2 linked regions of the Canis lupus familiaris genome follow. The protein of the gene in region 1 interacts with the protein of each later gene in a pairwise test. Links are inferred from orthologs where the notes say so. Each region holds a gene or a part of one and is shown on either strand. Other genes may lie near its edges.

The links.
Region 2: the proteins of RPIA (region 1) and PCMT1 interact in binary tests that used the Homo sapiens proteins (3 or more experiments, as listed by UniProt). The two-hybrid records come from large-scale screens. The link is inferred for Canis lupus familiaris from reciprocal best matches to the Homo sapiens genes RPIA and PCMT1.

Annotation. Positions count from the first base shown.
Region 1 is NC_049238.1:38,101,781-38,105,292, reverse strand, and holds part of RPIA (ribose-5-phosphate isomerase), read left to right. Parts: intron 1-1,172; exon of another isoform or gene 1,173-1,311; coding exon 1,312-1,371; exon of another isoform or gene 1,372-1,452; intron 1,453-3,425; coding exon 3,426-3,490; intron 3,491-3,512. UniProt on the Homo sapiens protein: Catalyzes the reversible conversion of ribose-5-phosphate to ribulose 5-phosphate and participates in the first step of the non-oxidative branch of the pentose phosphate pathway.
Region 2 is NC_049222.1:40,757,504-40,761,479, reverse strand, and holds the start of PCMT1 (protein-L-isoaspartate(D-aspartate) O-methyltransferase), read right to left. Parts: upstream 2,808-3,976; 5' UTR 2,793-2,807; coding exon 2,564-2,792; intron 1-2,563. UniProt on the Homo sapiens protein: Initiates the repair of damaged proteins by catalyzing methyl esterification of L-isoaspartyl and D-aspartyl residues produced by spontaneous isomerization and racemization of L-aspartyl and L-asparaginyl residues in aging peptides and proteins.

The sequences.
Region 1 (3,512 bases):
GTCTCTTTGAAAATTAGGGAGGCTTTTAAACATCTCAGTAATACCAAAAAATTTAACAATAATCTTTGGTAACATAAACACATAGTTTAAATTTCTCCTATTATCTAATCCTTTAAAAGTACTTTTTTTGGGTAGTATTTATTTATTCATGAGAGACACAGAGAAGGAGGCAGAGTCACTGGCAGAGGGACAAGCAGGCTCCCTGTGGGGAGCCTGATGCGGGACTTGATCTCAGGACCCTGGGACCATGACCTAAGCCTAAGGTAGACACTCAACCACTGAGCCACCCAGACGTCCCTAAAAGTATTTTTTATAGTTTGTTCAAATTAGGATCCTAGGAAGGCCTATATATTGCAAATTCCAGGCTCTATGTAGTTTTTTCTTAGAATCTTACAGTTTTGGATTTGAATATTGGCATTGTTCATTTCATCCATCCCCATCTTTTTATAGACAAGAAAAGTTGCCAAGGGTCATGTGGCTGGTTTGTTGAGATTAGAGCTGAGATTTTCTGATTTTTAATCTTGGGTGCTTTTCATTTTAAGCAGAAAATATTTTTAAGACATGCCTTTGAAAGAAAGTTTTCCACCCTTTGATACCTCTGCATATTATAGACTATGACATGGATACAGATCCTTATCACTTGGCTTTGGGTTGTCAACCTCCAAGGTTCAAGGTATATTTATTTCAGCTGTCAGTCCCACTCAGGGCCACATGGTGGTGGTAACCACTGCTCTCGCCTTTTGTCAGACCCTTTGAACTGTTAATATGAGGCATGTCTATAAAGTGAATCCTAGGACTGTCCCAGTGTGGTGTTCTCAATTTGCTGAGCTCATTTAGCCATTCTGGACATCCTGCCTTTGATACAGTCTGCTGAGTGTATATATTCTTTTGCTTATTTTCATTCAACATGGTAGCCTGGAAATCACTCTGTATCAATTCAGTTCTTATTTTAGGAAGATTTTTTGTTTTGTTTTGTTTTTTTGTTTTTGTTTTGTTTTTAAATACTCTATTACCATAAGCTTTAGGAGTCCATGACATTGTCTTAAATAGCAGGTCACAGAGAAGGAACTCTTAGCCTGGCATTGGGAGCCTTCACTGTGTGCTGTTTGCCTTCTTCTGGCTCCCAGGATGAATTAACTTAGTTTTGCCATTTATAGAGCTATATCTCCTACCTCTTAGTGGACCCAGTTGGATTTAGGAGGGAGCCTTGTTCAGGACTGTGTGTCAGACACTGAAATCCAAAAGAATGCTGAGAATCTTTGCCACGTGCTCAGAGTAAATGATTATGGTGCTTTTTCTTGTCTTCCACAGGCCCGTCAGCTCATCTTGCAATATGGCTTGACTCTCAGTGACCTGGACCGACACCCAGAGGTAAGAGAGGGTTGGGCTGCTGTGTCTTCATCCTTTCTTATGGCTGTCACTTGCTCATGGGCTCTGGATATCTTGTTGAGTCTAGGAGAAAGGTCAGTGAGTCATACTAGATTTTCTCCTGGGATTTTGAGTATTAAATTTGGCTAAGGTCACAAGAGGAGAGGTTGTTAGTTTCCAGTACATTCCCCGTGGTTTAACCCTGAGGGCTCAGTATGAGTGTAGTGAAGGGGGATTGGACAAACCCAGGGCTGGACCCAGAGCTTCCGGGGATCCTTATACAGAGGTATGAGTGAGCCAGCCCACGGAGTTTACCACTAGGTGGAGATAAGAAGTAATCATCTGAGGCAGCCATGGAATTTGCAAACAGATTATAATTAAGTGTTGTGGCAAAGATGGTTATTAAACACATGGGCAATTCAGAGGAAACTGAACTTGATGAGAGTGAGCAGCATATTAACAACTAGCTTTTACTGAGCCCTTCCTGTATACTAGCTAAGTACTATGTTTGTATTCAACTACTTAATATCTCCAGTAGTCTTGAGGGTGCATACCATCATTACCCCATTTTACAGGTGTGAAAAAGACAGAGAGGGCAAGTCATTTGTCAAAGCCACGCTTTCTGTAATTGGTAGAGCCTGAATATGAATTCAGATGCTTTTGGCTCTAGAGCAGTGCTACTAGGTTTTGTGGGGAGAGGTGAAGTTTGAGCAGAACTGTGAAGGCAGGGTGGCCATGGCAGGAGAGAGCATTCCAGAGAGGAGTAGATGAGAACCAGGGGCATTGGGCATATGTGGATAACCCCCAGGCTGGCTGGAGTGGTAAGGACCGAGTGAGTGGTATGCATTGGTGCATGGTGGGAGAGGAGAGGCTGGACTGGAAGAGTGGAAAGGGGTTATGGCAGCTTGAGAACCAGACTGCAGATGGGGACCCGATGGTCTACTAGTCTGTGTTGTCCTGGTACACGTGGGCCTTAGAGAGTTTAGTAAGAACCATGGGAAGGGCTCACTGGGGGATTTCTGTGGGCAGAGCCAGGGCAGAGTGTGAGTCAGTGTTCAGCACTGTGAGAAGAGTGGTTTGGGCTGAAGGTAGGCCTGGAACTCACACAAAGAAGGTTGCAGCCTTCCAGGCCCCAAGAGTTGCCATGATGTAGCCTGGCCCTGGGGTTAGCGCAGGGTGTGGAGAAGCAGTATAGCCTCTCTTTTCAGACAAAGAGCAGAATCTGAAAGCATGGAAACAAGGTGAAGCTGAAGCTTTGTGCACTTTATACTTGTGCCATGCCAGGCAGCTTAAACTGACTTGTACCCTGAGGTTTCTTCATACAGCTGCTTTAAATAACCATACTTAAGACTCCCACACTGTCTACTTGGAGTCCAGGAGTGTCACGAAATACTTAGCTTCCTTGATTTCAGATCTTGAAAGATGAATGAACCCACCTGCCCCTGACTGCTCCTGGGGTTGGTGGTAGAATTTCCTAATAGTGGGAGTGGGCATGCCCGGACAGGTGCTTTGGCGGGGTCATAGTCAGGGTGCCTCAGATAATTTCCAATTGCAGATCAAATGTGTGTCAGCTTTATAACTCTTCATTGGGTTTTCTCTCTGTGCTGGAAACTGCCTTTCTTTTTGCCACTTTAGCATGGAGACTTCTGAATCAGTGTTTCTCGGCCTTTTTTCTGTTGCCCCCCTCCAGTGAAATTTTAATACCACAGGTATACTGTGTATCTTTTCTGTACTTGGGGGTGATGTCACCCACATTGGGATTGTGTACTCTTAATAATTCTAGCTCATCCACAGAGATGCCTATCAATGAGAAAAGGGAGTGTAATGTGGGTAAGAACTAGACCCATGTGTGGCTTCCAGGCTCCATATTTAGTGGACCTTAGTGGAATAGCTTAACCTCTCAGAGCCTGTTTTTTGACTGATTAAATGGGAATAACTCTACCTAACTAATAGGGCTGCTGAGGATCTGATGAGTTATTACATGTTCAAGCTTTGCACAGAGCCTCCCCTCTAATGGCTCTCAGTAGTTTCTGTATCTTTCTTCTCTCCTCCCACAGATTGACCTCGCAATTGATGGTGCTGATGAAGTAGATGCTGATCTCAATCTCATCAAGGGTGGTGGGTGAGTGTTGTGGGGACTTTCT
Region 2 (3,976 bases), on another chromosome or scaffold:
CCACATCGGGCTCCCGGTGCATGGAGCCTGCTTCTCCCTCTGCCTGTGTCTCTGTGCCTCTCTCTCTCTGTGACTATCATAAATAAATTAAAAAAAAAAAAAAAGAGTGGTTGTCATAATATAAGCTATGAAATATTATGAGATATACCATATACATTCTACAATATTCTGTAAATGATTTATCAACTATGAAATCATACACAACCATATTTCTATTATGACATCTTATAAAAGGAAAACTCAGTAGTTATTTTCAATATGATCATAATATTAAAATTAAAGCAATCATGAACTTTATTTTTTTTAATGTACAACTATAATTTGCTTCCTCTTCAGATCTGCAGATCCTTTTTCAGTTCAACATCAACATAACACATTTTTTAAGTCTTTTATTTTAATTCCAGTATAGTTAACAGTTTAGCACTATATTAGTTTTAAGGGTACAATATAGTTATTCCACAATATAATCACACTTTAATCTTTTTCTAAAGATTCAACTAGAAGCCTTTAAGTTAGGAGGAACACACAACAGTAGAATAACTAGGAAAAGGGAGAAATTTTCAAATTTTGTGCCAGTTGAAATTCTCACATGAGAAAATAGTACTTTCATAATAAACTAATAAATAGAAACGAAGTCTATTAGCTAGAATTCAGAAAGTAAACTAACATTGCACAAGTGTCACAAGAGGCTACACATTTTGAGCACTCTAATTTCCTATCATGAATCATGGATACAGTATAAGATTAAATATTTGCAGTATTAACATCCATGTATGTTAAATACTTATTATTAAATTTTCTGACAGAAAAACATCCTTAAACGTTTCAGCTAGGAATTCTATAAATGCAATAAATGCATGATGCAATAAAATGATTATAAAACCACTGGGAAAAGAGCTAGTTTTGACTTACAAGTTTGGCCCCAAAAGAAGAGTCATGAAGAGCATGATTACAAATTTCTGCCATAGCCAAGTATCTCCTGTGATAATTTACCAGTGGAAAATTACTTAATCATAATTTGTGCATAGAATGTTTTGGACGTGTACACTGAAAAAGCAGGCACTAGATCATTTTAAGAAATGTTATTAAAATATTTACAACATACTGAGCTTATGTGTAATCCATGGGAACCTAAATCACACTTAAAAACACTGTCTCAGCGTATAAATATCCACTTCCACTCAAATATCCTTCCATAAAGTGAACACTGGCAATGCTTGACAGAATTTTGAAATCTAAACATTTTTCATTACTAAATGCAAAGGACACAATTTCAAAACTTTTAAACACTGCAAAAAAAAAAAAAAAAAGTCAAATGACTATTAAGTACTAATCATGTGCCAGACAAGGATATTCATTTCTCTCACTTACCTTGGTATTCCTAGCACAGATCCAAGCATATAACGTATATTTAATTGCATTTATGAAAAAAGGAATGAGTATTGAGAGAGTTCAAAGATCAAAAACAAAAAAAAAAAAAAAAAAGTCCTAGCCCTCGAGGAGGTTACAAATCGAATTAGGAAACATGACAAGCACAAGAAAAGCTAAATAACATACGACAATTAAAAAATACCACGTGGGCAGAGTACGATTATTCGCAAAGTCGGTGGCAAACAGAGTGCTATGAATTCTGACTAGAGTTAAGGTATTAGGGAGTGCGGTCCTTCTGGTCTCCCAACCAGACAGCAACACTGCATCTCGATCTAAAAACAGAGAGTAACACAGCACTCATCCCACCCTAAAATTATCGCAAAAGGAAGGAATACAATAACTAAAGAGAATGATACAAAGAAACTGCCTTGAAATAAAGCTAGAACATTCCACACACGCACACAATCGTTGGTTGGATCCCAGGATCTCTAAAAGCTCTCAAAATACAAGTCTCTCGGGAAGAGCGTTTCTGATTCTTTCTTCCTCCGTCCCCCGCGAACATTTCCACTGGACAGCTGCCCCAGAAATTTCTCCCAGCATCCGCAATGACAATACTCTCATCTTTCCCTCCCTCCCCTCGCCTGTATCAGACGGTGGCATCTCCCTCCAGAGGAAAAAACGGAGGGCGGGGGAGGCAGTATAGGAAGGAGAGAATGCTAGCAGCGTGGCCGATTATTAGAGAGGAGGAAGGCGAGAAAGACGCGGGGGTCGAGGGTGCGGTCGCCTCGGATCCGGCCCAGCCTCCGGGTCAGGCCAACATCCCCCCCCCCCCCCCCAGGGCACGCCCCTCGCCCGCCAGACCCGACCGAGCAGGCGGCGGACTCGAGTGACAGCCCCACCACCTGCGCCGCAGCCCTTCCCCCAGGCCCGTGGGGCGACGCCTGCCCCTGCCCCACCAAGAGCTGCCGGTGGCTCCTTCCCTGCCCTTCCCGTCCACGTCGCCGATGAGTGACAGGTCCCGGGGGAGGCAATCGCAAGCGCACGCCGTTCGATACTGCTGGCGCCAGCCTGCGCCGTACCCTCCAGCCCGCACCGCTGGGGGCGTAGGCAGAGCGTTGCGGACGGCCCAGGGGGACCCAGTCCGGGCCTAGCCTGGCCCAGTTGCCCCACACTGGGCGGGGGTGGCACTTACTGCGGAGATTGTGGATTAGCTCCGAGTGGCTGGCGCCGCCGGATTTCCAGGCCATCGCTAAGCACACCCGGAGCAGGTACAGAACCACCTTCAGCGCGGCGACGGTGCCCAGCAGCTTCCCCAAGAGTGAGACCACCTCCCACACGGTCACCGCCCCGCTCGCGTCCCCGCTGGAGTCTCCGCTGTGACTGCTGTCGCCGCCGGTGCCGCCACTGCGCGCTCCCGGCATCCCCCGCGGCACGCATGCGCTCTGTGACGCTGCGCGGCCTCGGGTGCGGCGGGGTGGGGCCGCAGGCAGGGGTGGCCTCGTGCCCCGCCGACTGCCCGGGTGGCTGCTGCGGCTGCTGCGGACGGGCTGGGATGGGAGCCCGGGCTGAGTCAGCGCCGCCGCCGCCGCCGCCGCCGCCGCCGCCGCGTGCCACCCCTCTGAGGCCTCGGGCTGCGCGCCGCCAACTTGCTGAGCTCGCCTGCGGCCGGACGGCGTGGGCCCGAGCGCGGTCGGTCGCGTGCCTGGCTGCGGCCTCGGTCGCCCGGCGCGGTGGCGCTATGGCGCGGTGGCGCGGCGGCGGGGCCGGTGCGTGCCGCCGCGTCTGCCGGATCTGGTTACGCCGCTGCGGCTAGCTCCGTCGTCGCAGCTGAGTCAGCTGCCGCGAGCCGCGGGTCTGCTCCTATAGCTGTGCGGGTTGTTGGACGCTGGGCTTCCTTCGTGCCGCCTCTCCCAACCCACTTGTCTAACGTTTAGGTCGGTGAGAGTCAGAGCTGCGTACGGCGGAGCCCGAATAATCTTAGAGCCAGAGGGCAAAAGCCCTTTCCCTCCCGAGCACGCGAGCCTCTGCGCTGTGCCAAGTCCGTCGGTATTTGGTTATAGCAGAGAGCTGGGGACCCGGGTTTGTTGCAAGTCTCCAGCGCAGCTTCGGAGAGTGGGAGGGCACCACGGCAAGGGAGGGCACCGTGGGGGTGCAGCGTGGGAATGCTTTCGGCTAAAATTAACACGGTATCTAATGGAGAATGCGTTATTCTCCGGACGCGAGTGTGCATTTTCAGCTAATTAATCCCCACAAATGCCACCGTTAGACTGGACACCAGCTTTATCGCTATCAGCCCTGCAAGACAATGAGTGAGAAGCTGACGGGGAACATTGCCCGTCGCCTCCAACTTGCTGACTCCTAATCAGAGCTCTGACAGAATCCAGTCATCATTTACTCCAATAAACTGTTAAGAAAGGAAACAAAGCAACGTCAAGACCTCTCTGCACTACCTCGTGAGCAGCGATTTTCAAATTCCAGTTCTCACCGGATTTTGTCAAGTGTAACACAGCCAACTACCATTCCGAGACATACTTGTACATTTCCTGTTTTTTTTTTGTGACATAAATGAAACCACACTCAAAGCACTATTCTTTAAGAGACTGAC